Notamacropus eugenii: one gene and its partners. The protein of the gene in region 1 purifies or fractionates together with the protein of each later gene. This does not show direct contact. Links are inferred from orthologs where the notes say so. Each region holds a gene or a part of one and is shown in the gene's direction. Other genes may lie near its edges. The genes, in order: SETD1A, BOD1L1 and CXXC1.

Region 1 (10,806 bases):
AAACCTGGACTCCTGGTCCCTGGACTCGGCAGCACTCTCGGGAAGGTACAGTGAATTCCTGCATTGAAAGAGACTGAACTGGCTGCTTTCCAGGGTCGCTTAGGATGTTAAGATATTCTCATTTCATCCTCCGCCCTGAGCTGAAGATTTTGGCTTCGCTGGTTTTATGGGACTTTGTCCCCGTAAGATTTAACTCTTCGGACCCAGAGGGGAAGGGGCCTATCTAAGATGCAGACCCTTGCTGCAACTGCGGCCATCCGGCCCCGCGCCCCGACATTTTCCCCAAGGAGATGCCGGGGTTAGGGAGCTAAGAGAAGTAACCCGGTTTCATTCATTCAAGAGGAAGCTGGGAACCAAGATTCCCGAGTACTGGAGAGGGTAGCTCAAGGCAGGCACGTTTCTGGGTGCAGTACTCGGACTGAGGATTCGGTCTCTCCCCAGCTCCTCCCTCATCATGTGGCTGCCCCCCGTCCCCGCCCCTAGAGCCAGTTCCTGTTTCTGCCTCTCCTCCCTCTCGGCCCCTGGGGCTCCCGCCTCCTACTCCTCCTGGGCTCTGTTGGCCTGAGGCTCTAAACTGACTCCTTCCTTCCGGGAACCCAAGCATCCTAGCCCCATCGAGTTCTAATGCTCCGCTCTCCTTTTCCTACCATCCACCCCACTTCTAGAGCTGATCAGCAAACTGGGGATGCCCAAGGGCTCTCCCCCATCTCTGAATTCTTAGAACTATCCCTGTGCCGCTGTAGCCACTTGGCCTCCCTTCCTGAGTCTGCGGGCTCGGCTTTGCTCCCTCTTTCTTAGGACTCGAGTAGTCCAGTTCCCAGAGCCTCTCCCCTTTAAGCTTAACCCCTGTCTCTGCCCCAGGGTCTCTCCTTCCCCCCTCCCCATTTTCCTGGACTCTCCAGGATGAAAGGAGGAGAGGGGGATGCAGGAGAACAGGCCCCCCTTAACCCCGAGGCTGGAGAGAGCCCCGGAGGCTCAGCCACCTACCGGGACTTTGTGCATCGAGGCTACCTGGACCTCATGGGAGCCAGCCAGCACTCACTGCGGGCCCTTAGCTGGCGGCGCCTCTACCTCAGCCGGGCCAAACTGAAGGCCTCCAGCCGAACGTCTGCCTTGCTGTCCGGTTTTGCCATGGTGAGGAGGTTGTTTTCTGAGACAGTGGGGTAAGGGATCGTTGGGGATGGAGCGGTGAGGAAGGAGGTAAGGGGAAGGCTAGGAAGGAGCCTTAGGCTAATGCTGGATGGGGGGGACAAGGGGGCTCCTGGTGGTAGGTGCCCCAAAGGCTGCCAACCCTGCATGTTAAGAGTCGGAATCCGTATGTGCAGGCAGAAGGGAGCAAATCCACAGCTGAGAATAACTGAATGCTGGTCTGACTTACAGTCAAGCAGTAATTTCTGTGGGGTGAGAACAGCGCCACAGGGTGAGGATGCCCTGAGCTTAGAGAGTTTGAAGCTATTTGAGAAGAGAAAGATCCGGTGAGAAAGCTTTGGAATGCAGATCCAGAGGGTGATAACTGATTAAGTAATAAGGAGTACAGGATGGCAGAGTTTTAGAGCTACAGGGGACCTTAGAAATTATCTAATCACACACCTTCATTTTACAGTTGGGGACACTGAAGTTGTAGAGAAGTGACTTGGCCCAAGGTCACCCAGTGAATTAGTGGTTAGAATGCAAATCTCCAGATTAAAAGACCAGTATAGAATCCTTTCCACCAGGCCAGGAGTGAGATGGGGAACTTCGGAACTTGATGGAGTAAGATTTATATGGCAGTGTCATCCTGATGAAAGAAAGGGAACAGGGAGTTATCAAACCTAACTGCTTGTCTGAGCTCTGCCATTCATTCATAAGTGACTTTTACCTCCCTGGGCCTCAATCTCCTTACATAAAATGGAGGGGGGGAGGTTGGCAAGATTATGTCTCTGAAGGGGTGAAAAGTGTGTATGGGGGAGAAAGGTAGGGAAAGGCCAAACTACACATACATTCCCTGTCCCATTCCCTTCCCACCTCTCCCCACTCCATGTTTCTCTCTCTTCAGGGAAAGACCAGGATGAATTTTTGAGGACCAAGGCAACCTAGGAGGTGGTATTGGGGGAAAAGAAAATCTTGGCCTGCTAAGGAGAGTAGTAGTTACTGAATGAAGGGTAAAAATGTGGATAGTGGAGGATGTTATTAACCCCAGAGAATAGGGCACCCCTGTAGGAAGGCCTATAACACAAGGCTAAAGCAAATCTTAGCCCTAAGACCCAAACTTGTTCCTAGGGAGACAGTTCACTCTGCTGCCATGTTGCTGAGGTGACGGCTTAAGGGGCCAGGCCCTCCTGTAAGGGCTGGAGAACTGATGCCTGAGTTCAGTAGGGGAAATGTAGCCCAGGGTAGAGAGTGAGTTCTAGTCTGGAAGGCTGCTTACTAAAATTTTAATGGAAAAGAGGGGCTGGGTAAGAGGATGTGAGACCAGGGAAATGGGAGCAGGGTGCTGGGATGATCATCACAGAGAAGGGGGAGGACTTCTGGTTGCATTTTCTCTGATGAGACTGGCCCAGATCCCTAGCTTTGAGCAGCACCTGTTGCCATCTGCTGTGTCCCAATTTCCTAAAATAACTGGGTCCAAAGTATTCCCCTCCCCCTACATTTTTCCTACCTCCTTACCTGGCTCCTTGCCCTCCTTCCCTCTCCTTCCCCTTCCATCAAGCTCTAGAGTAATTGGGTAAACCCTATTAAATCCAAAGAGGGAATATAGCTAGAAAGCTAAGGTTCTATGAAGGGAGTAAAGTCTACCAGCTGGGTCCAGGTGGGAAGGTTTGGGAGTTAGAAACCAGGTCCTTGAACCCCTGACTCTCCTCTCCAGGTGGCCATGGTGGAGGTCCAACTAGAGACCAACCACGACTACCCCCCGGGGCTGCTGGTGGCTTTTAGTGCCTGTACCACAGTGCTGGTGGCCGTCCACCTCTTCGCCCTCATGGTATCCACCTGCCTGCTGCCCCACATTGAGGCCGTCAGCAACATTCACAACCTCAATTCTGTCCACCAGTCTCCCCATCAGCGACTCCACCGCTATGTGGAGCTGGCCTGGGGGTTTTCCACAGCCTTGGGCACTTTCCTCTTCCTAGCCGAAGTGGTCTTGGTTGGCTGGGTGAAGTTCATGCCCATTGGGGGGCCTGCGGTGGCTCCTGTGCCCGAGATCCCTTCCTCCTTGACTGCAAGAGGTCCAGAGAGCCCTTTACCTGATGCACCAACCTCCATGGGCCCAAGTCCAGGACTATCCCTGACAGAGTCAGTGGTCCCCTTGAATCCCCCAACTGTGACCTCAGTCTCAGAAACACCACCCAGGGTTGGGCCCTCGGCTGTGAGCTGCTCACAGAGGTGCGAGGGGCCAGTAGCCTCACCACATGGGCCTGGGTGGCATGCCGCAATGGCCTCAACAGTGATCATGGTACCCGTGGGCCTGGTTTTTGTTGCCTTTGCCCTCCATTTTTACCGATCTCTGGTCACTCATAAAACGGACCGACATCAACAGGAGCTGGAAGAGCTGAGCCGCCTCCAGGGAGAACTTCAGGCTGTGTGAAATGGGAGTGAGGGAAGGAACAGGGCCTTGGGAAGAAACAAATGGAAGATGGAACTGCAGCTCTCACACAGCCACAGATTGGAAGGGGCCCCAGCAACAGAACTACAGGGTGTCCCCAAGGTAGGCCCAGGAAGAAGGCCCCTGGCAGCCTGACCCAGGAGCCCTAGGCTGAGAGGAGGAGCCCCACACCACCCAAAACAAAGTGGAACAACTCACTCGGGTAGCCCTGAGAATGGGGGAGGGGCATCAGGTCAGGCTGGCCTTTAAGGGAGCCCTAGTTCCCTTGCCTTCCCTTTTCCATATAGCCTATAGTGATAGGGCTTGGCGTATTCTGAGGCCCTCCTCACACAGGCATCCTCTTTGGAAAAATATCCATTTGACTGTGATGGTTCTCATATCATGGACAACTTATTGGTGGCAGCTATGCCCATTTTGGTAGCACCTAAAGCGTTAGTTAGCTCCTCCCATTTCCTAGGTTCTCTCCAATAGATTTATGCTTCCTGGAGGAATTCTCAAGCCAGAGCTGACTTTTCTAAAGAAACCCCCCAAGCATGCTGTTTAAGGATTGCCCCAAATTCAATCTTAGTCCTACCTCTAGAACTCCAAGGCCATGGAATGGAGATAAGTTCTCCTTAGGGTCTAAGACTTGTCTCCCTACACTCCCTCCCCACCCCTTGGAATTGTCAGTCACCTTTCCACTTGGGTAGGTTCTCCAGTGCCAACCTACAACTTCTGCATTTTGTTTCCAAGTTCTTAGGAGCCCTAGGGATAGGTCACACAACATTGCCTCCAAATTGAAGGACCTTTTTATTGTAAGTACTGCCCTGTGGCTCTGATGCCTTACCTTCAAAAAGCGTTTTTTTCATGGTCTTTGTGCCAACATCACCTGTCCCTCTCAAAGTTCCATCTTTTCCTCCTCCTGACCAGGGTAGGAACAGGGGAGAGGGGCTGCTAAAGGAGGAACAGGCTTCCATGCAGAAGGTCCTGTCCAATCATACCCCCACATAGGCTTTGCCTCACGCTGAGCACCCTAGGGATCCCTCCTCTGTAATTATGGTGGATCAACTCTGACATTGAATTTTCACTGCATCTTTTTTTTTTTTTGTACAATAAACCTTGTTTGAAACACATTACCGTGGCTGTGGAGGGTAGAGTAGGGGTGGCCCTCTGTATCTTGGAAGGGAAGAACAACAGATGGGATCATTTATTCCTGGTTATTGAAGAGCAAGGGTAGAGTACTACAATGAGGGCAGAGGCTGAGGAACTGGGGTCTGGGTTCCAGGAATGGAGTGTGCCTTGATGGGAGGGGATGAAGTGGAGTAAAGATCCAAGGGGTTGCTGTTACTTGGAGAGAGCAGAAGTCTAGGCAGGTTGTGCCATAGAGGGAAGCTTCCAGATTTACGAAGATAGAAACTTGTCTTGAAAACTAATAGCAAGCTGTGCCAGGGCTCAGAGAGGAGCAGAAAAGATTAAGCTCTGAGTGGGCCAAGCTGAGGAGTGTGGAGATGGGAGTGGGGGATGAATGGGTGGGCTACCAAAAAAAAGTAGCTATTGGAGATGAAGGGTTGGGTTCACCGGGTATGTGGTGGGTAATGACTGACCTCACCAGCAGGGCCCTGCCAACACATGGGAATGCAGCCTGGGGCAAGGACTCCAGACATAATGGTCTTAGGTACCTCCCTTTGCTGCCAGCACAGTCCCATCTTAGCACATTCTCTGACATCTCTTGGGGCCAGAGTGGCTTCTTCCTTCTCTGTCCAGGGGAACTGTAACACGCCCCCCCTCCTGATTTCCTAATCCCTGACCATGCAAATAAATGCCAAGAGGCTTAGGAAGGGGGACTGTCATAGGGTCTTAAAGGAGTCTGTAATGGACTTTTCATCTAGAAACTGGGAACAGAGAATTGACAGTTCAGGAAAGTATTTCCAGACCTTTTTGGCAGAGGATGGGGGCAGGGTGCTCCAACCCTTCCCATCCCCCAAGGTTTTATTGCATTTCCTCTAGATCCTAAACTTTTTCAGTCTGTCCTCCGAAGCAAGAGGCCATCCCACCACTGTTCCTCGCTTTGCCCCCAAAAGGTCATGGGATTCAGAGATCATCTAGCCTCCATCCTTTGAGAGGGGAGGTTAGGGAGATGCTTGGTCAAGGCATTCGCCTCCGGACGCCGGTGTTCCCAGCCGGATAATGTCTGCACGCTGGGACCACAGCGAGCGGTTTTCTCCGTCCTGGCCCCACCAGGTGTGCCGTGGATAATCCCCATGTCACAGATAACCCTGAGGCTCGGAGAAGCTGTCACATTTGTTCAAGGTCGCCGCCGGTGCCAGTTCCAGCAACTCCTGTCAAAAGCACCGCGGTAATGGCCACGTGGGGAGAGGTAGCTTTGGGGCTCGACTTGGGACTTGGGAAGAAGCCCACCCCTTCACTCCCAGCCCCGCCCCCGCCGCAGCCCTTCGCCCCGCCTCCTATCAAGCCCCGCCCCTCCCGCTAGCTGTCGGGTTCCCGCTCGCAGATTCGCATTCCTGTCAAGCACCGGGACGGTGATCTGCAGATTCGTCCCTCCGATGACAAGCCTATTTCGGATCGCTCCGACCCAGCCCTTTAATTCAAAGTCGGGTCCGTTTGGATCCATCTTCTGTGCCTAATGCCAAAGTAGGAAAATTTAGTGATATTTGCGAGAAACGCCAACCAAGGATGAGAGGCCAAACTGGACTACTGTTAGGGAGCCGAGTGGCCATACGCTAACACTGGCGTTGCTTTTCCGATGTAGACCGGGCACCCCGAACGAAGCCAGCAGCCGGGGCCTGTGGCGAATCTGCGAATCCGGAATTTCTACTCTTCCCAGCCAGACCGATGCAGGAAGTAGCGCAAGTTCCGCTACCGCCGATTCACCTCCGGCGAATCTGCGGCTGCCGGACGAGCTAACCTCTCCTGCTCATCCCCGGCCCGGCCTCCGCCCGTGCGCCCCGCCCCCTTTTCCTCGGGGACTCGGCGCCGCTTCAGCAGTTGCAGATTCGTCACACGTCCAGAACCGGGCAAGGAGAGAGTGTTGGTGAGGTCCGCTCTTCGAGGGATGCGGCCGGCCTGCCGGCTTCCCCCACTGCTTCTTCCCGTGCGGCTCGGAGGGAAGAAAGAGGTGGAAGCGCTCCTCTGCCACCCGCCAGAGTCCCGGAGGCGCCCGTGTCGAATGTGCTCCGGTGAACGCAGAGCCCGCCGGGCCTCGCGCAGGTGGCGGTGGTGTTTGGTGCGCGCGCCGGGGAGGAGGGAGGTGGTGGTGGGGGCGCCGCCGCCGCCGCTGCCGCTGCGGGGCCCGGGTCTCGCGCCGCCGCGGAGGTGGAGCGAGGTGGGGAAGGGAAGGGGAGGGAGCGACTCGCTCGCCCCGAGCGGGTGAGTGCAGAATGCGGTGCGCGCGCGCGCTCGGCGGGGAGGGGACTGCGCGCGCGGGTGGGGAGGGGGCGGCTCGCGGGGGTGCGCGAGGAGAGGGAAGTGCCGCGCGCGCTGCCTCCTCCCCCGCCGGGGCCCGGGCCCGGGCCGGGCCGGCCCGGAGGGTCTCGCGGCGTTTCCGGAGCCCCGCCGCGGCCCCGGAGGAAGGTTCCACCTTCCTGGCTCGGGGCCGCAGGGTCCCTGGGCCCCGGGGAGCTGGGGTGGAGGGGCAGGGGGGGCCGGAGAGCGGGGCACCGGCCCTGGCTGGCCGCCGGTGAGGAGACAGGCGGAGGGGGCGGGGCTTGGGAGGGGCGCGCCTCCGGCTGGGGGGGAGGGGCCGGGCGGGGGGCGGGGGGGCTGAGGGAGGGCTTCCCAGGTCCGGGTCCCTCTGCGAGTGGGAGCGAAGCGGTGTCCCGGGGCCGCCGGCGATGGGGAAGGCGCGGGTGCCCGGCACCTCAGGAGGCCTGGGGGGCGTGTGGCGGGGCTCGGGAAGGGGCTCCTGGAGGCCGCGTCTGGAGGGAGGGGAGGTGAGGAGAGGGAGGGCTTGGGGGGAGCATGTGTGAGGACAGGATGTGTTTGGGGGAGCAGGCTGTGGGGACGAATTGGCAGGCGGGGAGGGGTTATCAGTGGGGGGAAGTTGCCCTGAGAGAAATACGTATGAAAGGGGGGGCTGTAAAGGGCATGAGTAGGGAAGAAGGATTGGGTGCGGGGGCAAAGGGACTTGCAGGAGGGAGGCACGGGGGAAGGATGCCATGGAGGTAGGGCTTTCTGCAGTGTGTATGGGGTGAAGGTTGGACATGTACAGGTGGCAGAAGACTGCGGGTGAAAGGAAGCTGTGGGGGCACAGGGATGTGTTTGGGGGCAAGTATATCTGAGGCACTTGGGGTAAAGAGGTCTGTGTTTGTGGAGCATAAAGTGGTACCTTGAAAGGACTGTGGTTGTCTATGGGGAATGGGTTGGGGCCCTGGAAGGGCTCTGGGTATAGATAAGTATGAAAGAAGACTGGAAGTTCAGGGCCTTACTCCCTTCCTTTAATTGTTCATAGTGTAAATGAGCCAGGATGGACCAGGAAGGAGGGGGAGATGGGCAAAAGCCCCCCAACTTCCAGTGGCGAAACTACAAACTCATTGTGGACCCTGCACTGCACAGGCTCCCTCAGAAGGTTTACCGCTATGATGGGATTCACTTCAGTGTCAATGTGAGTTATTTTGCCTCAACTGTTCCCCCCAAGGTTCTTGGGTAGATAATTTTCTGTCTCCCAAAATTTCTGCTCTTTGTACCCCACTGTTTTTTTTCAGAAAGTTAGAAGTCCTACATTTCAACCAACTCTGGGCCTAAGTTTTTAAATTGTTTCCCCCAAAGTGATTAAATTGCCTTCCCATCTCTTTCATCCCAGGATGCAGGATACAAGATTGTTAGCAAGCTTCAAGATCCCCGTCAACGACTCACATGGTCCAAAAACAGAGACCTTTCCCTCCCAGTTCCTAAGTTTAAGGTAAGTCTTCATTACTTTCATGATCTGATAGTTTTTATGGAGGGTGACAGTTATAGGAAAATGTGCAAATCCACATAGGCAACCAAGGAAGGAGTTTGTCTTTGAACAAGCAAATTGTACATAGCATTTGTGAATAACTGAGTGAAGTGTCCTGACCTAGCAATTCATAATTTCACTTTGTGGTTGAGTCTAGGTGGGCTTTCCTTAGAGGTTATGATTAGCTGTTGTTTTTTAGTTAAGGAAGGTGGCCTTAGCCTTTGGGGAAGGGATGGTTGACATTCTGATGAGAACTTAGCTATGAGAGCAGAAAAGAAATCTAGTTCATGTGATTTCTGAATCTGAGTTTTGTGTTGTATAAAAAATGATGTGGTATCCTAAGTAGTAGCAGCTCTACCTTTAGATCATAGGGATGGTATTAAAGACTCTGGAGTTCCAAAAGTTGCACTCTCATGTAGTCTTGTGATCTTCCTTGGCATGCTTGTCATAGTTGCAGATCTCACAAAATGAGGAGCTAATTTGAATTGGGCTGCATTAAATAGAAGCAATGTCCTGAATGAGAGGGGTTGTGTTCCCGCTGTATTCTGTCCTGGTCAGATCACGTCTGCAATAATATGCTCAGTTCTGGCTGCCACATTTTTAGAAAGACATTAATTTATCTGGAACTTTTCTAGAGGATATTAAAGGAATTTGAGCCCATTACATACAAGATTTGAAGGAACTATAGAGTTTTAGTCTTGGGACTGGGGGCTATGAAGTAGAAACAGATAAAGTCACTGTCTCTAAATATTTGAAGGACTGTTACATGGAATAACAAGTAGAATATATGTGTTCCAAGGTTTACAGAGTACTCTATTTACATTCTCATGTGCTCTTAGGTTTTGTGGCCTCAAGCTGTAACTACAAATCAGAAGGGGAAGTTAGGAGAGGCAGATTTTGTCTAAATAAGAGAAGGAAGGAAGGATGGATTTATTAAGCACCTACTATGGACCAGGCCCCATGCTAATCCCATTGCAAATATTATTTCATTTGATCCTCAAAACAATCCTGGGAGGTCTGTATTGTTACTATCCCCATTTTTGGTTGAGGAAGTAGAAACAAACAGAGATTAAGTGATTTGCCCTGTGTTACAGCTAGTAAGTGTCTGAGGCCAGAGTTAAACTCAGGTCTTCCTGACTCCTAGCCCAGTGTTCTATCTACTCTGCCTCCTAGGTACCTCTGATAATCATTCTAGTTGTTGGAATGGTCCAAAAGTGTATAGACAAGGGAATAAGTTCTATTTAACTACTCTTCTCGGGTAGATGAGCACTTGTCAAGGATATTGTAGAGGGGATTCCTACAGAGTTGTATTGGACTAGATGACCTATGAGGTTACTTCCAGCTCTAAGTTCTGTGTCTTTTCATAGGACTTCTCTGTCTTATCTTTCCCCATCTGGGTGTTCAGGTTTTTGGACTTTGTAAAGATTTTCCTCTTGGTCCTTCTTCTATGGCTTTTTATGAGGTTTATTTTTCTGGTTCCTGCATTCACTTCAGAGGAGGTTTAGGACCATGATTTTACGATTTTGTACAATGAGATCATCTTATTCAAGTCTTCTCTGTTAGCCATCTCTCTTAGCGTTCAATAGAGTTCCCTCTTGCCTATCCCTCCTGCCCATAACACATACACATGAATCTACAGACCAAGGCTCAGTGTCCTATGGCTCTGCCTCTTGTCCATGAGCAGATCTTCCTGAAGGCTCTATTTCATGCCAGGGTGACTCTGGATCCTGACCCAGCTTCTGCTTTCCTTCCACAGCTTGACGAGTTCTACATCGGGCAGGTCCCACTGAAGGAAGTGACCTTTGCCCGGCTGAATGACAACGTTCGGGAGACCTTCCTGAAGGACATGTGCCGAAAGTATGGAGAGGTGGAAGAGGTGGAGATCCTGTTGCACCCCCGAACACGAAAGCATCTAGGCCTAGCCCGAGTGCTCTTTGCCAGCACTCGGGGTGCCAAAGAGACTGTAAAACATCTCCATCACACCCCGGTCATGGGCAATATCATCCACGCCCAGCTTGACATCAAAGGTGATGTCCCTTGCCTATCTCTTACAATCCTGATCTGTTCCTATTTGGAAAAAAAAAAATCTAGATAATTTGGGAAAGGAAGAAGAATTGAGATCCTAAAGTTAGAGATGGGTGAGAGAAACTGACTTCATGTGCTAAGACCAAGGGAGGGTGGAGATGGGAATTTAAAGCTAGAGAGAGAAGCTGGACTGTCAGAGAATGGGCTAATACCCTCCATTTGTTTAGACTGACTTTTTTGATTCCTGTTCCAGGGCAACAACGGATGA
Region 2 (10,090 bases), on another chromosome or scaffold:
AAGATCCAAACTCTTACTTTCTGAAACCTTTTCCTGATTAAATACACCCCAGTGTGTTCACTGATTTTTCTCTTTGTCCTTTCAACAACTGTGTATCCAGGCTGTATTGTGATTTTGGCATTACTGATGACAATGCATTATAATCATTCCCCTTTAAATGAATTTCACTCAACAAGCACTTGCTACCTACTTTGGGTCAAACACTATCATATTTTTATTTGTTTAAAGGCACAGCCTATATCATTAGACTGTAAGCACCTTGAAGGTAGAAAATACGTATGTGTGTTTTAAAAATATATTTCCACCCATAGATACACCTATTGCAAACAGTTGCATGATTTAATGCCTGTCCATCTGATGAAAGAAAAATGCTATGAATAGGAGTTGGGGTAGTGCCGTTTTGGGTGGAAGGAGTAGAGCTGGAGCAATAGGGGGCAGTGAGATTTATGGAGGGGAACATACTCTAGCCACTGACCAATCTACTTAACTTGTATTTCATTTTTTTCACTCATTCCATTATTCAACAAACATTTATTATGTACTTAACCTGTGAAGTGCCCAGTGCCAAGTACTTAGAGAAATACAAAGTATAAATATGCTGATTCCTTCCCTCAAAGAGTTGTCTGCCGATTACAATGCTAAGCACCAAGTAGGCATTCAAAAGATGCTTATGTTAACACTCACGCAAATTCATTTCATGTCAGATAGAAACATTTTGCTAATAAGAAACCCACTTTTTGGTTTTAATTGTACCATATATTTCCTCTGTCAAAATATGTTCTCTTCAAAGAAACTGCCATGTGAGACATTCAAAGTCCCATCCAACCAAGCCAGTTTAGTGCTTCCGCTGTGTTGTTTATTAACCCTTCCTTTCTAATCATGGCCCTTTATTCATGTCAGAAAACTGCTGATAAGCAAACGTAAAAATGTATATATCCAGGGAAACCATACCTAAACCCATAAAGGTAGCACTGACAGCTTCAAACTGAACTATATTCTAGAAGCATCATGAAGCCTAAAGCAATTGCTTTCCTATGATTGATTTACTCCATGACTTTTTTAAAAGCTTATATGTAAATATAACCCTTTGCTTCTCCTGGTAATGACACCATTTTCAGGAATGTTGCATCTCTTTGGAAGTAATCAATTCACATTCATATAAAAGTTGTTGCTTTTTAAAAAATCATGATGAAAACAGAGGTGAAATGCAAAATAAAATAAAATAAAAATAAAAAAAAAAACAAAACCCAATATAAATAATGTTAATTTGTGGGTTTTGAAGTCAATATGCTGAATTGAATCCATCCCCCACAGGGATCAATTTCTGTTTGAGTTTGACACCACTGATGGTAAAGAACTTTTTTTCCCTAAAACCAGCTCTTTCTGAAGTGTACCTTCATTACAGTTTTTAAAAAAATTTTTTAAAGTACGTGTTTCATTTCAAGGTTTCTACTATCCCTCACCCCCATGCTATACAGAAAAACATACTTGCTCTAAATGGGCAATAATTAACAAAATGGGAGATTGTGCTGCTTAATGACTTATAACAAATCTAACCTATGATCTGGGATAGCTGCTAGAAGGGGGAAGTCAACCTTAAAAGCAAATCAGTTTGGAAAAGACAATGCTACCAAGGCATAATGATGAGAAAACTCATTTAGAGAGTGCTTCAAGGCTTACAGAAGCACTTTCCTTCTAATTCTGTGAGGTGGTGAAAATATTATTTCTATTTTATTTTTACTGAAGTTCTGAGATTTGTGTACTTTCCAACAATGATAATAGCCGTTTATATAGCCCTTACTATGTCCCAGGCACTTTACAATTATTAATTCATTTTGGCCTCACAACAACCCTGGAAGGCAGATGACATTATTATCCCCATTTTACAGATGAGAAAACTGAGGCAAACAGAGGGGAAGTGACTTACCCAGGGTAACACGGCTAGTGTCTGAGATTGAACTTGAACTCAGATCTTCCTGACTCCAGGGCCACCTCTATCCACTTAGATTGCTAGGCCAAGCATGAACCCTGAGGAAAGGCTGGTTGGGGCAAGGCCAGAAGTCTTCCTTCACTAAGATGATGTCAAGCTGATATTCAACCCTGGTCTCTTGACTCAAAGTGAAACGTACTTTCTAACACATCACGCTATTGGTTTTGTGACACAACATTATGGCAAATTTTGATAGTACAATCAGAAACCAGAAAATCTCAGTATCACTTCAAAGAAAATTCATACTCAGATGGAGAAATGGGGAATGCAGAGCATAATAGAGAGAAGTAGTAACATACTTATTTCATGCACCCACTTTCAGAGGTCCTTAAAAGAATATTGAAGATCTTTAACAGAAACAATTAATATACTCAATCCATTATCCTTCCTTGGAAACATCCTGTTTTCAAAAGATGTTTTAAATCTTTCATTAAAAGTATGGTAACATAAAGACTTCCTAGAAGATGGCAGAGTACAGAGAAGCCAAGGGAATTGGCTTTGTCCTTACAGATCCTTAAAGACGTGAAACTGAGGCCCAGTACCCTCACTCTTCCACCAAAAAAGATGAGGAAAAAAAATAGAAAAGTGTGTGTGGGGGAATCCTTGAGAAAATAAAGGAAAAACCAAGCAAGTCTACAAAGGCTACCCCTGAGCATCCCTGCCCCACTGCCCTAGCTTGTGTAAACTCACCAACCTGAGAAGTTCCTCCAGCTCCCTGATCTCAAATCCCAGGTGAGCATCTTCTGTGTTCCTCTACTAGGGGTGGTCTTGAACTTTAGAGGGTCACGTGGTGTGAAGTTGTAAGCGTGTCCATAAAGGGAGCAATGACCTTCCCAGCCTGATTTAGCTATTTTTCTCTGCCTCACTAATGGGGCCATCCCCTAACTACTTCTTAAATAGGTCTATCCAATGAACGAGCATTACCTCACCCTAAGTGAGTACTGAATATGCCTTGACCTAAAGGGGCCAAAGTCTCCCATTGCATCCTGGGTCATCTCCAGTCATCCTAATGAATATCTGGTCACTGGATTCAGATGGCTCTGGAGAAGTGAGGCTAGTGACCTGCACAGCCCTCCCTCACTCATAACAAAGTCAAGTGCAAGTCATGGTCTTCTTTGGCAAAGGACGAACACAACTAGGGGTGGGGAACCTGCAGGCTCAAGGCCACATGTGGCCCTCTAGGACATCAAGTGTGGCCCTTTGACCGAATCCAAATTTCATACAACAAATCCCTTTAATAAAATTTGTTCTGTAAAACTTGAACTCAGTCAAAACGTTTACACCCAAGGACCTAGAAGGCCACAGGTTCCCCACCCCTCTGGAAACCAACTCCAATATCTTCCAATGCCTCCAGAATAAAATATCAAGGCCTCTGCTTTGCTTTTAAGGCCCTACACAAACTGACCCAATCTACCTTTACAGGCTGATTGGATAGTACTCCCACACTCTGCAAAACAGTAAAACTGACCTCTCTGCCCCTCACACCCCACACTAGCTCCCAAGTCTGTGCTTTTGGACCTGCTGTTCCTTACACCTAAAATGCATTTTCTCCTTTCTCAGAGTCTCTTCTTCTAAGTTCAAGTACCATTTTCTGCACCAAGCCTTTTCTGGTTCCCTGTCCCCAATTGCCAGTCCCCTCCCTCCCAAACTACATTGTATTTAGCTGTTATCTATCTGCATATTTTACATATATTTGTATTTGTGAACTTCATATTTATGCTACGTGGATATGTTCTTCTTATTTAAGAAATTTGAATGTAAGTTCAAATAATGATCATTTCTTTTTTTTGCACTTGCATCTATAGCATGTAGGTGCTTAAAAAATATTTTTTTGATTGATATTAAGCCCCTACCATGTGCCAGGTACTGGACTAGGTACTGGAGATAAAGAATCATTACTTCCATTCTAATGACATGACCAACACAACACAAATTTGTTTGGTTTCATTACATTTATTAAAAAGAGGACTTGGTGGGGAGGGGCAAGGGAATGATGATTTTTAAAAAGAGCATTAATAAAACATGAACAAATATTTAACAGAAAATAGAATAAAATTCAAAAGGGAACTCAGTCAAGCTTGGCAATGCTGGTACTACCCCAATAAATTTGACAGATTTTTTTAAACTATGCGTAAAGTTCATATTTACTACCTTTTTGGCTTTTGTAGGTGGAAATGTTTATGTCTGTTGGTAGTTTTCTAGTTCCTTTCTTGTCGCATAGAATTTCAAGTTATTGTCAAACCATTTAAAATGTAATTCTAAATCTGTCATTTTGGTAAAAATCATTTTAATATTTTTGTTTTAAGAACTCCTATTTTACCAGCTACAAAATTCTTCCCTAAAGTATATTAAGATGTAATACATTGTGAAGCACATAATGAAACCATTTTGTCCTTTGTTTTTAAAGTGTTTTGTCACAAGCAATACAATTTACCTAACGCATAAGGACCCCCATCTCCCAGTGACTATGGGGTCACCCTTGCCTCGTCTCTCTCCCTCTCCTCTCCTGGGCAATCAATCGCCAAGTCCTGTGCACTGTTTCCCATTTGCACCAGGTGGCTGGGCACACGGAGCGGCGGGATGCCCCCTCAAATCCTCGTTAGCGGTGGGACCCTCGGGCGAGTCATTCTGTAAAGCGGGGCTACTATCAGAGCTGCTGCCAGGGCCAGGGCCACATGAGGGGAGAGTCGTGAGGGGCACAGCGCTAGCACTCCGTGCCAGGGATGATGACGGCTTATCGGGGTCCCCAGGTGTAAAGGGGGCATCCTAGCTGCAAGGGCCTCCCGGGGGGGGGAGGTTAAGGGCACAGGTCGGCGCCACCCACGGCCCCCTCTCAGGTGCGAACTCTCCGCAGGCGCTCGGTTCGGTCCCGGCCCCCGGCCCCAACCCCCAGACTGCGGACCGGCCCCCTCATGGTCAGGCCTCTCCGCCGGCCACTGCTTGTTGGATGGAACCCCCAAAATGCTTCAGCCTGGAGCTCGGGAACCCCCCTCACCCTTGCAGGCTTCTCGAACTCCATTCTGCTTCGGTTCCTGCCAGGCAGGGTGTTAGCGGGCCCTGCCGGCCCGCTCCTCGGCCTTGGCACGTGGGGGGCCGACCCCGAGTCCCAGAATCCTCCTCTTCCTTCCCGTCCCTCCCCCGGGAAGCCTGCCCTGACCCCCCGCTTCTTCACCAAGGGGAGCATTAAACGCCCGCTCGAGGCAGGTACATAATTTCTCGGGGCTCTCCCGCTCCTCGATTACTCACCGCACCCCCTCTTCTCTCCCTCTCCCTCCCCCCACGGCACGGCCGCTCCTGGAGGCCGTCCTAGAGCGTAGCCACGCTTTTGTCCCGGGGTGGCCCGCGCCTGGCCCTGCTCCCTACACACAAACATGGAAGTTGGGAGGACGGGCAGATCGGGGTTTGGGGGTTTATCGGGATCCTCCCCAGCCGCCGATCGCGACCCGAACAGAGCGGACACGCGAAGAGCCGTAGGTGCCCCACGGCCCCGCCCCTCCGGGGACTGGCCTAGGCATATGACCGTCCAGAGCGCCGAGGCGGAATTGTGCCTTCCTGGCCACCGTCGCTATCACCGCCCCTTTCGCTTCCCCCCCTCCGCGTTCCCTTTCACTTCCGGGGTCGTGCTGAGGCCGCTGGTTTAGTAACAACATCCCGTTGGCGGCCGGGACTAAGCGGCGGCGGCGGTGGCGGCAACGGGAGCTTCTCCAAAAGGTCCCTAGTGTGGGCCTTGCCCGTCGGCTTCCTCGCCGACTCTCCTCAGGCTCGAAGTCCCTTCCCGGGCCGGGCCGAGCCAAGCCGGGCTGGGAGTGAGGTGAGGTGAGGGGTGAGGTGAGGTGGGGAGCCCGGCCCCCGTCGCCATGGCCAGTAACTCGCAGCCCCAGCAGCCGCCGGCGCCGCCGCCTCCTCCGCCCCAGCCCCAGCCGCCGCCGCCGCCCGGCCCGGGCCCGGGAGCCGCGACCGGAGCTGCAAGCGGCCCGGGCCCGGGAAGCGGGAGCGGGGCTGCAGCCGCCGGCGGTGGCGGCGGCGGCGGCGGCGGCGGAAAAGCCGCCGGTGGAGGAGGTGGAGGCGGAGGCGGAGGCGGCGGCAGCGCGGGAGACCCTCAGCTCGTAGCCATGATTGTCAATCACCTCAAGAGTCAGGGGCTCTTCGACCAGTTCCGCAGGGACTGCCTGGCCGACGTGGACACCAAGGTGCGGGCCGCGGGGGGCGCCCGGAGAGCGGCGGGGCTGGAGGGAACGGGGTGGGCCCGGCCGTCGGGGCCCGGCGCGGACGCAGGGCCGCAGCTGCCCCGGAGGCAGTCCCGGAGGTCGCTGGGGGGAGGGAGGCCGCCGGGGGTGTGGAGGGGGGAAGCCCCAGCTCGAGTGGAAGTTGAGGTGAAGGGGGGGACGGCGCGGCGCCGATCGGGGAGTGGGTGCGTGGGAGACGCCTGGCGGACCCTGAAGCGCTCCGAGTGTGAACTGCTGTAGTTGTGGCTGTGGAGTTAGATTGGGTTCTTAATCCGCAGGGTCCGGGTGTGTGTGTGTCCGGGACGGGAGGGGTGAGGGTGGGGACAGGCAGGGGGGCTGGATAGTTCACTGGGGCCAGGACCTGAGAGACCATTTCCAGAGGTCTCCACACAGGCTCTGCTTAATCCTTCGCGTTCCCTTTCCGAAAAGAAAAAGCATCAGGTCAAGTCCGTGGGATTAGAGAGGACGTCGTTACACTGAAATACAGCTGGGGAACCCCGGGTGAGGAACTGCCTCCTTTTGCCGGCGGCTGAAACAGTGACTTGCCCAAGATGGGATAGCCCCGGAGTCATGCTGCTGAGGCTAGGTTTCCTAACCGCGGGTTCCTTGTGCTTTGTAGAGCAGGGATTCCTGAATTGAGGTTAATATTTTGATAACTGTATGTCCATGTAATTGATTTTCTTGGTAACCCTACATGTTTTTCTTACACATTTAAAAACAATGAGTCCGTGGGTTTCACCAGATGACAAGAGGAGGTCGTGACAAAAAAAAAAAAAAAAAAGCAAGAACAAAGAGATTGAGACCCCCCTGTTTGAGAGCATTGGATATTTTGGTCCACCAAGGAGAACATTTTTGTTAATGCTCAAAAAAATTTGTGGCTGTTAAGAAGGGCGGTTTTGGCTTTTTATCTTACAGTTTGGGAATGAGATTGTTCCCAAGGCACCTTGAGTTTTTTGGTTTTGTTTTTCTAAATAAATTTTTTTTTAGAGCTCAGCTAGTTGTGTGAATCTCTTTTTTACCTGTTGCCCAGAGTAATTGGGCTGATTTCCCAACTCCACAGTCCAATCCTGGGAAAGCTCCTATTAAAAATCCCAGGAAGGCTTTCCTACTTAAGAATTACGATAATGGGTCTGCCATCTTTGGTAAATTACATTTCCAAAATAGAACGTGTCTTCAAAGTTTTTCTAAAGCTCATCTAAAATATAAGAGGCAGCCTGGTGGTGTGGATAGAGTGCCAGTCTTGGAGTCAGGAAGACCTGGGTTCAAATCCTAAGTTTGACACATGCTGGCGATGTGACCTTGGGTAAGTCACTTGTTGATCCCCATTTATAGAGTGAATTTCCAGACCAGCATTTCCTGTTTTGTACATTAATGAAATCACAGGTCCAGATTAAAAAAAAAAATAGAAATCTTTGAGACTTCTCATCTCCTCTGTTGCTGCCACTAAGCTGGTACTAAGCTCTCATTGACTCATGCCCATCACCTTGCCCTTAAGTCTCTAGTCACTCCAGTCCATCCTCTACTTAGCTGTCAAAGTGATCTTAAGGTTCAGGTCTGTCTGTGTCACTCTGCCACCACCATCCCATCCACCACCTCCATGATCTGACTTCTACAGCCCTTTATAACGTGATCCTGTCCTACCTTTCCAGGCATCTTCTACCTTTTGCCCTTCCTTGCACTGCACAGTTCAGTAACAGTGGTCTTGTCGTTCCTCAGACAAGATACTCCATTTCTATACTCTGTGCATTTTCCCTTGCTGTACTTTATGCTTGAAATTCTCTCCCATCTTATCTCCATCCTTTGGCTTGCCTGGCTTTTTTCAAAATCGAGCTTAAATCCCACTTTGTTCAAAAAGTTTTTAAGGCCTTCCTTTCTGTGATTACCTCCAACTTTGCTTGTACAGGTCTTATTTGTACGTAGTCGCTCCTATGTTGTCTCCCCCATTAGTTGTGAGCTCCTTTTGCCTTTCTCTGTATCCCCCACTGCTTAGCACAGTGCCTGGCACATAGTAGATGCTTAATAAATATATCTTGACTTGAAAAATGAGCTTTTTTTTTTTTTAAGTCATTGTCAAGGTAGTCCCTAAATAATTTTCTTCCATTCTTTGTTCCCTCTTGCCATTTTGTGGCCATCTCATTCGAAGTATAGATTCCTTACCCCTGCTCAGGAAGTTTTTCTAAAATTTCATTATGTGAACACATTCATATAATCTTTAGTGAGCACAGCAGCAGGAGAGATGCTTGTAACTCTAAGCTATCACATTCAATTCAGCATGCACACCAGTAAAAGAAGTTTTATTTTATTTTAGTCCTATTGTTCATACACTCTGGTCCATTCAGACTGCCTTCTTGCTGTCCCTCACACAGGACTCTCCATCTTCTGTCTCAGGGCTTTTGTATGGGCTGTCCCCCATATTTTCAATGTACTTCCTCCTCACTTCTTAGAAACTTGAGTTTCCATCACAGCTCAACTCATTACATTCCACATGAAACTTCTGCTGAACCACTCCCAAGCTGCTAGTGCCTTACCCTCAAAATTATTTCATATCTAGATTTTATATGTTTAACATATGTCCATTCAGTAACCTGTATTAGAATGTAAACTGCATCCCCAATGCCTAATACAGTGTCTGTCACATAGGAAGCATTTAACAAATGCTTGTTGGTTAATTTCAACAAGCATTTATTAAATATTTATGTGTGGAGAAATGTTCTAGGACCAGCATTTACACTGAGTTGCAAGAAAGACAAGTACAGACTGAGGTGTAAATGTAGGTTCTAACTGTAACTGTTTGAACTGTTCTAGAGGCCTAAAGATTGTCTTACTTAAGAAGGCTAATTTGGGGGCTTTGGTAATGCTTTTATGCTAAGAGAGACATTCTCATTTTCTCTAATTCAACCTTCTTTTCCTCCTTCACATGCCTCAGATGAACTAAAACCCTAGACATCCTTTGAAACCAACCTATCTTGTGTGGAAGATCCTACTGTGATTCAGAATTGAACTGGGTTCTAATGGAGATACGTACACTTAACAAGACCCACATTGCTTGGATGGTTCTAATATTTCAATTATTGGTATTTGGCATGGATAATGATGCTAATTTGTAGGAGAAATCAACCCACTCCAGATTCTTTTGGCTGAGATAGCCCAGTGACCAAGGAATGGTGTGGAATGGCACTCCTGTGAAGTAGAATAAACTTTTTGACACGTTTAATAATTAAATCAGGTCCCTCCTCCATGTGATTATAGTCTAGTTTTGACAGATTAGACAGTAATGTCAAGGAAGAAGAGAAATATTGAAAGGGAATTACTACCAACATCTTTTAAGTTTAAAACAAGCAGTAGTTAAACAAAGAAAGAATACATTTATTTAAAAAAACAAACACGTGATGCCATTGATTGAATTCCTTCCATTTGGGCAGCAAGTTAGGACAGTGAGGTAGCTTTGGACCAACTTTCTACTGAAAGTAAGAATTGGAAAAGGACATGTTAGTTCAAAGTTGAACGAAGGAAATGTTGTTAGGACTGGAGGGAGAAAAAAGTTTAAATTTGCTCCCAAAGCTAATTTGAAATAGTGGGCATGATTGAAACTACTATTCAGCAATGGAAATGAAGCATTTTGAATTGAGTGGAGTAGAGTTTTGCAGTATGGTATAGATAAAAAAAATTTTACGTCAGCTGAAGATACTGAAAAGGAAGGAGATGACTTTTAGAGTTGCATGGATTTGAATTATCAGAAGAAATCTTTTCTCCTTGGGAGGAGTGGTAGTGACATAAAAATTGTGATAGTGATTTGATGGGTGTTTCTTGTGCAGAAACTTTTCACTGAGGAAAATTGACAGATATTTTGAACTTAAAGTTAGAGAGTTACCTG
Region 3 (10,628 bases), on another chromosome or scaffold:
GGCACGTTAGCTCATCATTTCTTATGCAACAGTAGTATCCCATTAGTCATTCCTCAATTGTTGGACATTCCCCCAATTTCCAGTTCTTTGCCACCACAAAGAGAGCTGCTATCAATATCTTAGAACATATAGGTTCTTTTCTTTTTCACTTTGGAAAAACAGGCCTAATGGTGGTATTGTTATGTCAAAGGGTATAGACAGTTTTTGGACATAATTCCAGATTGCTCTCCAAAATGGTTGAACTAGTTTGCAGATCCACCAACAGTGGATTAGTGCCCCATTTTTCCACATCCCCTCCAACATGTTTTGCTTTCCCCTTCTCTCATTTTAGTCAATCTAATAGGTACAGAATGATATCTCAAAGTTGTTTTGGCTTGAATTTCTCTAATCAATAATGATTTGGGGCATTTTTCATATGATTATACATAGTTTTAATTTCTTCATCGAAAAACTGCCTGTTTCAATTTGGAACTATGCCCAAAGGGCTATAAAAATGAAACGTGCATACCCTTTGACCCAGCAATACCACTTCTAGGGATGCATCCCAAAGAGATCATAAAAATGGGAGAAGGGTCCCACATGTACAAAAATATTTATAGAAGCTCTTTTTGTGGTGGCCAAGAACTGGACATTGAGGGGATGCCCATCCATTGGGGAATGGCTGAACAAGTTGTGGTAGATGAATGTAATGGAATACTACTGTGCTATGAGAAATGATGAAGAGGCCGACTTCAGAAAAACCTGGGAGGACTTACAGGAACTGATGCTGAGTGAAGCAAGCAGTCAGGAGAACACTGTACACAGTAACAGCCAGTGTGTGATGACTGACTTTGATAGACTTAGCTCTTCTCAGCAGTGCAAGGATCTAAGACAGCTCCAAAAGACTCATGATGGGAATGCTGTCCACATCAGGAGAAAGGACCATGGAGTCTGAATGCAGAGCAAAGCAGACTATTTACTCTGTTTTGTTTTGGTTGCTGTTTTCTTTCTCATGGTTCCTCCCATTGGTTCCAATTCTTCAATACAGCATGACTAATGTGAAAATATATATAATAGGAATGTATACGTAGAGCCTATATTGGATTACACACTGTCTTGGGAAGGGGGAGAGGGGAGAAAATTTAGAACTCAAAATCTTGTGGAAGTAAATTTTGAAAATTAAAAATAAACTAATTAATTAAAAAAGGAAAAGAAAAACTGCCTGTTCATATTCTTTGGCCATTTATCAATTAGGTAATGACTCATACTCTCATAAATTTGATAAAATATTTGAGACATGAGACCTTTATCTGAGAAACTGTCTATAAAATTTTCCCACAATTTTCTGCATTTGTTCTGATCTTGTTTACTTTGGTTTTATTTGTATGAAACTTTTAATTTAATGTAATCAAAATTATCCATTTTGTACATTCACAATGCTCTCTATTCCTTGTTTCTTCATGAATTGTTCTCCTACGCCTAGGTCTCATAGGTGATGTGTTCCATGTTTTTCTAGTTGTCTTTACATCTAGGTCATTGTATCCATTTTGACCTTATCTTGGTAAATTATGCAAGTCTGTAGGATAGTGGTCTCTGCCCCATTTCAGCCAGACTGCTTTCCAGCTTTCCCAACAATTTTTACCAAATCATGAATTCTTCTGCCCAAATCTTGGGTCTTTACACTTGTCCAATAGAAGCTTATGATGTTGACTTGCTGCTTTCAACTGCATGTCTTCTGTATTCCAACTTCTTAGCCAGTACCAGAACATTTGGATAATGACTGCCTGATTCTACAGTTGGTGATCAGTACTGCTGAGCCTCCTTTTCCCCAACATTTTCATCAGTTCCTTTGGTATTCTGACATGGGTTTTGTTTGTGCCCCCTCCACTCTCCCTCTGTGTGGATGCATGTCTCTCCTTTGGGGTCTGCATGTCTCTGTCTTATCTCTCAGACTTGGTCTCTGTGTTTTGCTGTCTTTCTCTGGCTCAGCCTCTGTGCCTATGTATGTCTTTTTGTGTTAGTGTTTCTGCATGTGTGTGCGTTTGTGTGTGTTTGGGTCTCTCTCTGGCCCAGCCTCCTAAGGTCCTTCCCACCCTGACCTACAGCTTTCTAACATTTCCCCTGCCAGGCTGAAGATGGAGCTGGAAGCTGGTGGTCAAGGTGGTATCACAGGGCCCAGGGGGAGCCCCACTGCGGGAGCTTCTGAAGTCGTCAGTGGTGTAGTTGCAGAGGGGGCCCTAGCGGAGGTAAGGACCCCAGAGTCGCCAGCATTGGTTACTCAGTAGCCTGGAAAAGAGAAAGGAAGGGAGACAGCCATGCATAAGGATGTTACTAGAACTTTGTTCCAAGGAGATCCTTAGCCACTTTTTTGGTCTTTAGCCTGTTGTAGAGCCCCCAACAGCCTGGGAGAAGGAACTGAATATTGACCACAGCCCAGGGAAACATCCTACTGGGCAAGCCTCAGTCTTGTCCTAGAACCTCACAGGGAGTTCACCCATTTGCACCAGGAGGGAGCTGCAGCCTGGTCTGAACCTAGCTTGGAGAGACAGTGTTTGGTCCTTTGGCCCCATCTCAACCATGGGGGACCGTCTGGTATACTCTTTGGAATAAAGAACTCTGTTCTGTTCCCTTTCTCTGGCTGTATTTCTATCCCCCATCCCCCATCCCCCATCTTGTCCTAATGACTTCCTTTTCTTCTTAGGTGGGGTTTGAGCACTCTGTGGGCCCCCATCTCCCAGATCTATATAGTTCTGTAGTATCTCTGGAGCCTCCTTGGTCCATGCCTCCTATATGCCAGGTCTGGACTCATCCTATTTTACAGTGTCTCACACTTGGACCCAGAGCTCTGGTCTAGTCTTCCCACTCTTTTCCTCCTGTAGTGGGGCTATGGCCTCCTCTTAACTCTGACCTTGCTCAAGACCCCAGGACAAAGAACTGGTATATCCAGGCAAAGTTTGAAAATACACCCCTCGGAAGTCTGGATAATGTGAAAATAAAGGATATCCATATCCATATATAGTAATATATCTATATGCATACATATATATTTTTAAAAGAAAATGACACCCCTTTATATGTTCCTGTCTACCAAGGTAATCTTGTAGCTCTTATCATACAAGACATATGCAACACAAAATAAATAATTATACATTATGACATTATGAAAAGCAATATTAAAAAGTAGCACCGTTTGCTTCCTTACTGCATCTTGTACCCTATATAGCAACTTTGCCTTCCTCTGTTTCTAACTCTGATCATAAATTCAACCTCAATAACCCTAATTTTTTATCATCTGACTTTTTATTTCACTATCAAACACAATCCCAGTCCATCCTGATTTTCCATCAGCATTCTATCCACTAATCAAACTGCCAAACTCTTCTCTAATGCCAGTCCCAATTGTCAATTCCTCAATTTTCTCTCCAAGTCCACTCTGTGCTTGGAGAGTTCCCTGCCTACTTCTTTCTCATGACCTTGAGGACTTTCTTGTCAAAGCGCTCTTTAGGTATCTGCAGGAACTTGGTAACATCAGTTGTCCACTGGATCTGACTGGAAGTGATGCCCATCTGGAAATCAGTGGGATGGGAGGGAAGGCTCAGAAGCCCTAAATTCCAATTTCTAGACAACCCTCTCCCCCAGCTTAGCTCTAAATCTTCCTCTCCTATGGTGTAGTGGGATTATACTGGGACTGAAATCCCACTAATGAATTCTAACTGATTGAGTGGACTGGAAGTTCGATCTAAATTCTAATCCTGGCTCTGTCATAACCTTAGCAAGTTAAGTCTCCTTCCTGGGCCTAAGTTTTCTCCTATCTTGGATGAGATCAGAAGCCTATTTCCTCATTTTAACTCACCCTGTTTCCCCTCCATTCCCAAGGGGCCTGGATGTTAAACCAGGTTTCCCTGGCATGGCCACTGGCCCACTTATCCCACTTGTTAAGGAAGTTTTTGATGGCAACGCAGTGGTGGCTGTTTCAGAGCATTCCCCTCAGAGCGTTCATCTCAAGTTGCACATTCCACAGCACAAGAGCGTAGCCTAGACAAGGGAGTGAACAGAGGCTCAGCAGAGCATGAGGAGGAGATGTGTGCCTAGGTCTGAGGAAGGGAACAGAAGTTGGGGACAAGGAGAGGGGAGCAGGAGCCAGAGCTTGAAGACAAGTCCCCAAGGCAAGAGGAATCTTAAAAGGAACAGAAAACAGCATGCCTGCATCTGTGAGGGAAATGGAAGCTGAGAGAGAAGGGTGTCTATACCTCAAGAAAACCCCAGGACTGAAGAAGAGGCTAAGTGTGGGGGGATCCATGAAGAGAAGCCCCACTTACCTTAGTAGGCCCTTCCAAAAGCATGGTGTGGGGAAAATCAATATATTCTTCATCACCTGAGAACATTCAGTCAGCTTCCCACTTGCTGCTGACCACCCATCTGTGAAAAAGAGAGGCCATCATCTCCTGTCTTCTCTTTTTTCTTTCTTTGTCTTCCCAGCAATTAGAAGGGTGCTTGGCACATAGTAGGTGCTTAATCAATGTTCACTGACTGGCTACCTCTCACCCAAACCATTGGAATTGCTTCTAAAGTGCTGTCACTGCTTCCAGTCTCTTCTTCCTTCAAATAGCTGCCAAAATCAGCCTCCTGATTCTTAGGTATGTCCATGGCATTAGTGATTCCTCACTGTGTAGGGAACAAAACACAAACCTGATTCCAGCACGTGAATCTCTTCAATCTCCCTTGTGCACTTTGCTAGGTACTCCTCCTCCTGATGCCCTCTAGGCATAAGCCCAGCTGTGGGCTCTTCTCTATCCTGTTTTTGTCTTGGCCTTGCCTCCTGCTGTACTTTTGCTTGGTTTGTCTCTCAATGTCAGGAGTAGAGCTCTCGTAGCAGTCCCTGTAAAAGTGGAACCCGATGCTTTAGGTAGTACCCTTTCCTTAGGGGTTCTCAGAGGCTGGTGGCGGAAGGGATTTTTGTTCATGTAATGGCTGATCAAGAAGAGATCAGTGTGGCAAGTTAGGTGGCGCTGCAGGTGGCTCTGCAGTCAGGAAGACCTCAGACACCTACTTACTGGCTGTGTGACACTGGACGAGTCATTTGGCCCTGTCGGCCTCAGTTTCGGCATCTGTAAAATGAGCTGGAGAAGGAAATGGCAAATGACTGCAGTATCTTTGCCATGAAAACCCCCAATGGGGTCACGAAGAGTTGGACATGATAGAGCAAAAGCAATAGCATGGGCTGATCTAGAGGCCCACGAAGGTCGTTCGGGCTGCCCTTCCTGCCCACTTGCCCATCAGGTCGGGCTCTTGGGGCGTAGCTGGTAACGTCTTTCACTTTCACTGCTCACTTCCCTTTGGTGGCACTTGGGCCTCAAGAACTTCGTGCGCTCGGGAAAGGGCAGGGGCGGGTTGGGTGGCGGGATCACGGCCCCAAGAGCCGGAAAAGCTCCAGGAAGGCAAAAAGCCAACCCAAGCTTCCCCCACCCCCACTCCCCCCCCCGGGGCCCAAGGCCGCCAACGCGCCTGCGTCCTAGCCCGGCCGCCGTCATGCTCCCTTCACCTCCCAGAACCCGGAACCTTGGCCCGGGCGGGCCTCCCTCCGCCCAGCAGTTCCTAGGCAGTGCGCCTGCGCGCCTCCGGGCCGCCGAGGCAAGGCAGCATTGAGCCTGCGCACGCACGGCTACGAGGCCTCGGAGGGCTGAAAGAACCGGAAGCGGAAGTGGGTCCGAGGACAACTCTCGCTCGGAGAGGCTCCCGTTGTTGTCTCGAAGGAGTCTCGAAATCCCGGCGCCGCCATGGTGAGAACGAGGGGCGGAGCCGGCCCGGGGCAATCCCGGGGGGCAGCCCGGGGGAGGAGGCTGAGCGGGTCCGGGACGAGCCCGGGGGCCTTCCTGCAGGACGAGGTGGCTGGGGGGCCCCACTTGGGTGGCTTTGGGCGCCGTCCGGGGAGGAGGGGCACCCCGGGGAGCACGGAAGGGGCGGGGGCATTCCTCAGTCTGGGGGGACATCCGCGGAGAGGGGCGGGGCGGGCAGGGAAGGAGGGACTTGGCGGGGGGGGGGGGGGGGGGGGGCGCAGCAACCATGGCCGCCGCCCGCAGCAGCCCAGGTCCTGCGATCGCCCCCCAGCAAAGAGGCTAGGAGAGGCCTCCCGGAAGGTCGTGGAGTTTAGGAACGGAGGGCCTGGAGGCCTCCCTGGAGGAGAAGGAAGGGAGGGGCAGTGACTGGGAAGCAGTTCAAGCCGCCCGAAGGTGGAGGCGGAAGGGGAAGGTCTAAGGTCACCCCGGGCGGACTCCAGGGCTGAGGAGGCGGGGGCGGGGAAGAGATTTCCGGAGAAAAATTGTAGACCTGGCTCGGGGTTCGGGACGAGGTGGGAACGTGAGACCTAGAGGAAAAGACCGAACTGAGGAGGGAAGACTGAGTCAGGGCCGAGCCTGGGCGGGGCATGGAGGAGAAGGGAGGAGGGGAGGGGTCTGGGAAGTGGGCGGGGGCAAGAAGACTGAGGGATTCCCTCTGCTTTTGTGACCTTACAGGAGAGTGAGTTTTCAGACCCAGAGCCTGGGGCCACCGGCGGGGAAGAATCTAAGTCGGACATCGGGGAGAATGCGCCCATTTACTGTGTTTGCCGGAAGCCCGATATCAACTGCTTCATGATGTGAGAACACCCGTTGTAGGGTGTAGGTGGGTGGGCTCAGTCTGGGGAGCTCTCTGGAGGAGGAGTCAGGTTTGATTGGCCATCAGGAGGGCTCCTCCAAGCAGGACCGCAGGGCTCGGCTCCCCAAAAGAGCTTTTGCACTGGGGAAAAGAGGAGCATTTATGGAGATCCTCCTTCAGAGAGCAGGTCTCAGGTTCCCATGTGTCAGACTTAACTTCCAGAGAAGCCTTGTAGCTGAATGCACTGGAAAGGGGCCCCTAGCTTTCCAAGCCTCACACACATCTCAGATTCTTTGCTTCTGTCCCTTGTGCAGTGGCTGTGACAGTTGCAATGAGTGGTTCCATGGTGACTGCATCAAGATCACAGAGAAGATGGCAAAGGCCATCCGGGAGTGGTACTGCCTGCAGTGCCGGGGTGAGTCTTGGGGGGTGGAGCCTGGGGGTTATGGGGGCCCATTTAGGGGGAATCTTGGCTAGCAACAGAGGGATCCCTCAATCTATGCCCATTTCCCGGACAGAAAAAGACCCAAAGCTGGAGATCCGATACCGGCATAAAAAACCATGCCGTGAGCGTGATGGGGAACCCGAGACTGAGCCCAGGGACGACGCGACCACCCCAAAGAGGAAGGTTGCCTCAGATCTCCTTGTAGAGACTGTGGGAAGTGGGCCCATGACCATCCCCAAGGGCTTCACCTCTCCCCACAAGGCCCCACCTCCCTCAGCCCCTGGGCCTGGACGAGAGGTATCCAACCAGGTGAGCTTGGAGAGAAGTTTGACACTTGGAAATAGAGTTGTAAAATCTAGGGCTTATACCAGGAGGAGGGAACTTTGAGTTGGAAAAGAATATGGGGTCCCAGGGTTTTATGGTATATCCTTCTTTATTGTAGGGCATTTATGATGATAAAAGATCTTCTTAGAACAGTGCTAATCCTAGGAGTGTCTCTCCCCCATGTTCTGTCCTCCCCTACTGTATTCCCCCCAACAGCAGATCAAACGGTCAGCCCGCATGTGTGGGGAGTGTGAGGCCTGCCGACGGACAGAGGACTGTGGTCACTGTGACTTCTGCCGTGACATGAAGAAGTTTGGGGGCCCCAACAAAATCCGCCAGAAGTGCCGTCTACGGCAATGCCAGCTCCGAGCCCGGGTGAGAGAGCACAAGGTGGCTCTAGAAGGTTTGGGCCTAGCTGACCCCCACCTAACCCACACCTCCCCTTTACCTCCCGCACGCTTCTCTTTTCTCTTTTTCTAGGAATCCTATAAGTATTTCCCTTCCTCGGTGAGTCTGGCATCAGCTGTGGTGAGTGTTGGGGTTAGGACTGGAAAACATTCCTCTTCTTTGGGGTACTGCCCTTCCAATAACCCCAAGTCCAGGAACCATGTTGGGGGAGGGGCAGCTTGGCCCATTTAGGGGGCAGTTGCTAGAATTGCTAATTCCTGCAGACCATTCTGTATCCCCTGTTCACTTCCCTCTTCCCCACAGTATATTAGAAGGAGCCCCAGGCAAGGATCAGGCAGCTCAGGCCCTTTCCCCTCTCTGGGCCTCCCTTCCCTCCCATTAAGAGCATTGATCTAAGGGATTGCCTCCTGGTTCTGCAATCTCCTGGGCTGCCCACCTACAGCACCCGCTGCTTCCTCCATAGCAGAAACTTCTTCGGGCACGGGAAGAACATTTCCAGATGTTAAAGGAGCCCCCAGAGGCCGTGGCCACCCCTGAAGCCCTCTCTGATGAGGATCTGCCTCTGGACCCTGAGCTCTATCAGGACTTCTGTGCTGGCGCCTTCGATGACCATACTTTGGTGAGGGGCTGGGCCCTGTTCCTTCTTGTGCAGATTAGACTGGGCCTCTGGAAAGCCCCTTCACGTAGGTCCTTTATCTGTTTTCTCTGCTTAGAACCTTGGAGTGTCTTCTCCAGCATGAGGTAGCATGAAATACGGACTGGGTGCTAGATTTGGGGTGTAAGCATGTGGGTCGGAAGTCTTGGGATCTTTAGGCAAGTTATTTCACCTGGGGCAAGTAATAAGATTGGATTTCTACAGCCTCCAAGGTCTATTCCAACTCTCAATTTAGAATTTTATGTATTCAAGGGGAGAGAAAGGACACTCTTTTTTTGTCGTGGCTCGGAGCCTGTAGTGGTTAGACAGTATTCCCCAAAGGGCCAATCAGTGCCTTTCTGCTGGCTCCTTCTCAACCTGGTCAGAGCAGAGGGGTGATGGGCTCAGTGGCCTATGCCTTCCTGCTCCCAGCCATGGTTGAGTGACCCTGAGGATGCACCTTTCCTGGACCCAGTACTTCGGAAACGTGCAGTGAAAGTAAAACATGTCAAGCGGCGGGAGAAGAAGTCAGAGAAAAAAGTGAGTAGCAGGAGAGGCGGTAGTGGTGGGCAGTGGGGAACTGTCCAGAGGCTCACCAGCTTCCCCCTCCCGCCCCAGAAGGAGGAGAAATATAAGCGTCACCGGCAGAAGCAGAGGCACAAAGAGAAGTGGAAACACATTGAACGCCCAGATGCCAAAGACCCAGCCTCCTTGCCCCAGTGTCTGGGCCCCAGCTGTGTCCAGGCTGCCCAGCCAGGCTCCAAGTACTGCTCTGATGACTGTGGCATGAAGCTGGCTGCCAAGTGAGGATGCCATCCCCCCATCTCTTGCCCACATTACATGAGGCCTGACTTCTTTCCCCATTTTGTCCCACTCCTGCTCTTCTACTAGCAGAAAGCTATAGCTAGTGTGGCTCCTGGGGAGGACTCCAGAGACCAACTGCCCTCTGGGATCCCTTCCCATGCATATCTTGCCCTCTTTCCCTGGCAGTCGTATCTATGAGATCCTACCCCAGCGAATCCAGCAGTGGCAGCAAAGCCCATGTATCGCAGAAGAACATGGAAAGAAGCTTCTGGAACGGATCCGAAGGGAACAGCAGGGGGCTCGGATGCGCCTGCAGGACATGGAACGTCGCTTTCACGAGCTGGAGGCTGTCATCCTCAGGGCCAAGCAACAAGTGGTACGCGAGGATGAGGAGGTGAGGAGGCCAGGTTGTGGGGAGCCCCTGGGAAAGGAGGTGGTACTCACAGTCTCACTTTGGGGCTCCATGGTTCCCTGTTTGTAGAGCAATGAGGGAGACAGCGAGGATACGGACCTGCAGATCTTCTGCGTCTCCTGTGGCCATCCTATCAACCCCAAGGTGGCATTGAGGCATATGGAGCGCTGCTATGCCAAGGTGCCTAGCCCCTCAGCAACTTGGGGAAGTTCCTTAGGAGGGTAGCATCCACTGGGGTGGGGCAGGCCAGAAGGGGTAGTCCATGTCCTTTGGAGGGCAGGGTCCAGGTTGGTTTGGCCTGAGGAATGGGGGAGTGACTGACCTGTGCAGGGGGGACAAGGGTTGGGGGAGAGATAACGACTGCCCTCAGAACAGTGGGGATGGGCCACGCTGCCCTTCACAAAGTGGGTGCCTTCTTAAGAGACTGTCAGGGGAACAAGTCCCTGCTGATGAGGGCCCTGGCTCTGTAAAAGGCACATTCAGGGCATTGTGGGATCTTAACCTTGTCTTCCACAGTATGAGAGCCAGACATCCTTCGGGTCGATGTACCCCACCAGAATCGAGGGGTGAGAGAGGGCACCTTGGGGAAGGGGAGGGCAGGGAGAATAGAGTCATCTTCTCACATTTCTGATAAGCATATGGTTCCCTTGCTCCTAACCCCTATCCCACCAGGGCTACTCGCCTCTTCTGTGATGTCTACAACCCCCAGAGCAAAACCTATTGTAAACGCCTGCAGGTTCTGTGCCCCGAGCACTCCAGGGACCCCAAGGTGAGTAAATTGTGCTGGGGACATAGTCTTTGCTATCATCTCTTGTGGTCTTGTGCATCTCTGATGACTCATTTGGCTTGTGTGCCTGTTTGGGGGAGATGCAGGTACCAGCGGATGAAGTATGTGGCTGCCCCCTGGTACGGGATGTGTTTGAGTTGACGGGAGACTTCTGTCGCCTGCCCAAACGCCAGTGCAATCGGCACTATTGCTGGGAGAAGCT

Evidence for each region.
Region 2: the proteins of SETD1A (region 1) and BOD1L1 purify together in Homo sapiens (affinity purification with mass spectrometry; 3 studies listed by BioGRID and IntAct, with this or other methods). This does not show direct contact. The link is inferred for Notamacropus eugenii from reciprocal best matches to the Homo sapiens genes SETD1A and BOD1L1.
Region 3: the proteins of SETD1A (region 1) and CXXC1 purify together in Homo sapiens (affinity purification with western blotting; 16 studies listed by BioGRID and IntAct, counting the BioPlex papers as one, with this or other methods). This does not show direct contact. The link is inferred for Notamacropus eugenii from reciprocal best matches to the Homo sapiens genes SETD1A and CXXC1.

Annotation. Positions count from the first base shown.
Region 1 is NC_092874.1:377,754,770-377,765,575, reverse strand, and holds the start of SETD1A (histone-lysine N-methyltransferase SETD1A), read left to right. Parts: upstream 1-6,694; 5' UTR 6,695-6,787; intron 6,788-6,809; exon of another isoform or gene 6,810-6,946; intron 6,947-7,170; exon of another isoform or gene 7,171-7,256; intron 7,257-7,735; exon of another isoform or gene 7,736-8,027; 5' UTR 8,028-8,042; coding exon 8,043-8,180; intron 8,181-8,378; coding exon 8,379-8,477; intron 8,478-10,269; coding exon 10,270-10,540; intron 10,541-10,791; coding exon 10,792-10,806. Other genes in the region: ORAI3 (protein orai-3), read left to right, coding at 904-1,134, 2,846-3,562. UniProt on the Homo sapiens protein: Histone methyltransferase that catalyzes methyl group transfer from S-adenosyl-L-methionine to the epsilon-amino group of 'Lys-4' of histone H3 (H3K4) via a non-processive mechanism.
Region 2 is NC_092877.1:66,180,398-66,190,487, reverse strand, and holds the start of BOD1L1 (biorientation of chromosomes in cell division protein 1-like 1), read left to right. Parts: upstream 1-5,818; 5' UTR 5,819-5,847; coding exon 5,848-6,180; intron 6,181-10,090. UniProt on the Homo sapiens protein: Component of the fork protection machinery required to protect stalled/damaged replication forks from uncontrolled DNA2-dependent resection.
Region 3 is NC_092879.1:101,928,116-101,938,743, forward strand, and holds the start of CXXC1 (CXXC-type zinc finger protein 1), read left to right. Parts: upstream 1-5,663; 5' UTR 5,664-5,756; coding exon 5,757-5,864; intron 5,865-6,001; exon of another isoform or gene 6,002-6,209; intron 6,210-6,221; exon of another isoform or gene 6,222-6,328; intron 6,329-6,491; coding exon 6,492-6,613; intron 6,614-6,926; coding exon 6,927-7,027; intron 7,028-7,130; coding exon 7,131-7,366; intron 7,367-7,597; coding exon 7,598-7,756; intron 7,757-7,861; coding exon 7,862-7,909; intron 7,910-8,252; coding exon 8,253-8,408; intron 8,409-8,855; coding exon 8,856-9,226; intron 9,227-9,413; coding exon 9,414-9,621; intron 9,622-9,708; coding exon 9,709-9,819; intron 9,820-10,155; coding exon 10,156-10,205; intron 10,206-10,311; coding exon 10,312-10,408; intron 10,409-10,512; coding exon 10,513-10,628. Other genes in the region: synaptonemal complex central element protein 1-like, read left to right, coding at 2,108-2,225, 2,359-2,454. UniProt on the Homo sapiens protein: Transcriptional activator that exhibits a unique DNA binding specificity for CpG unmethylated motifs with a preference for CpGG.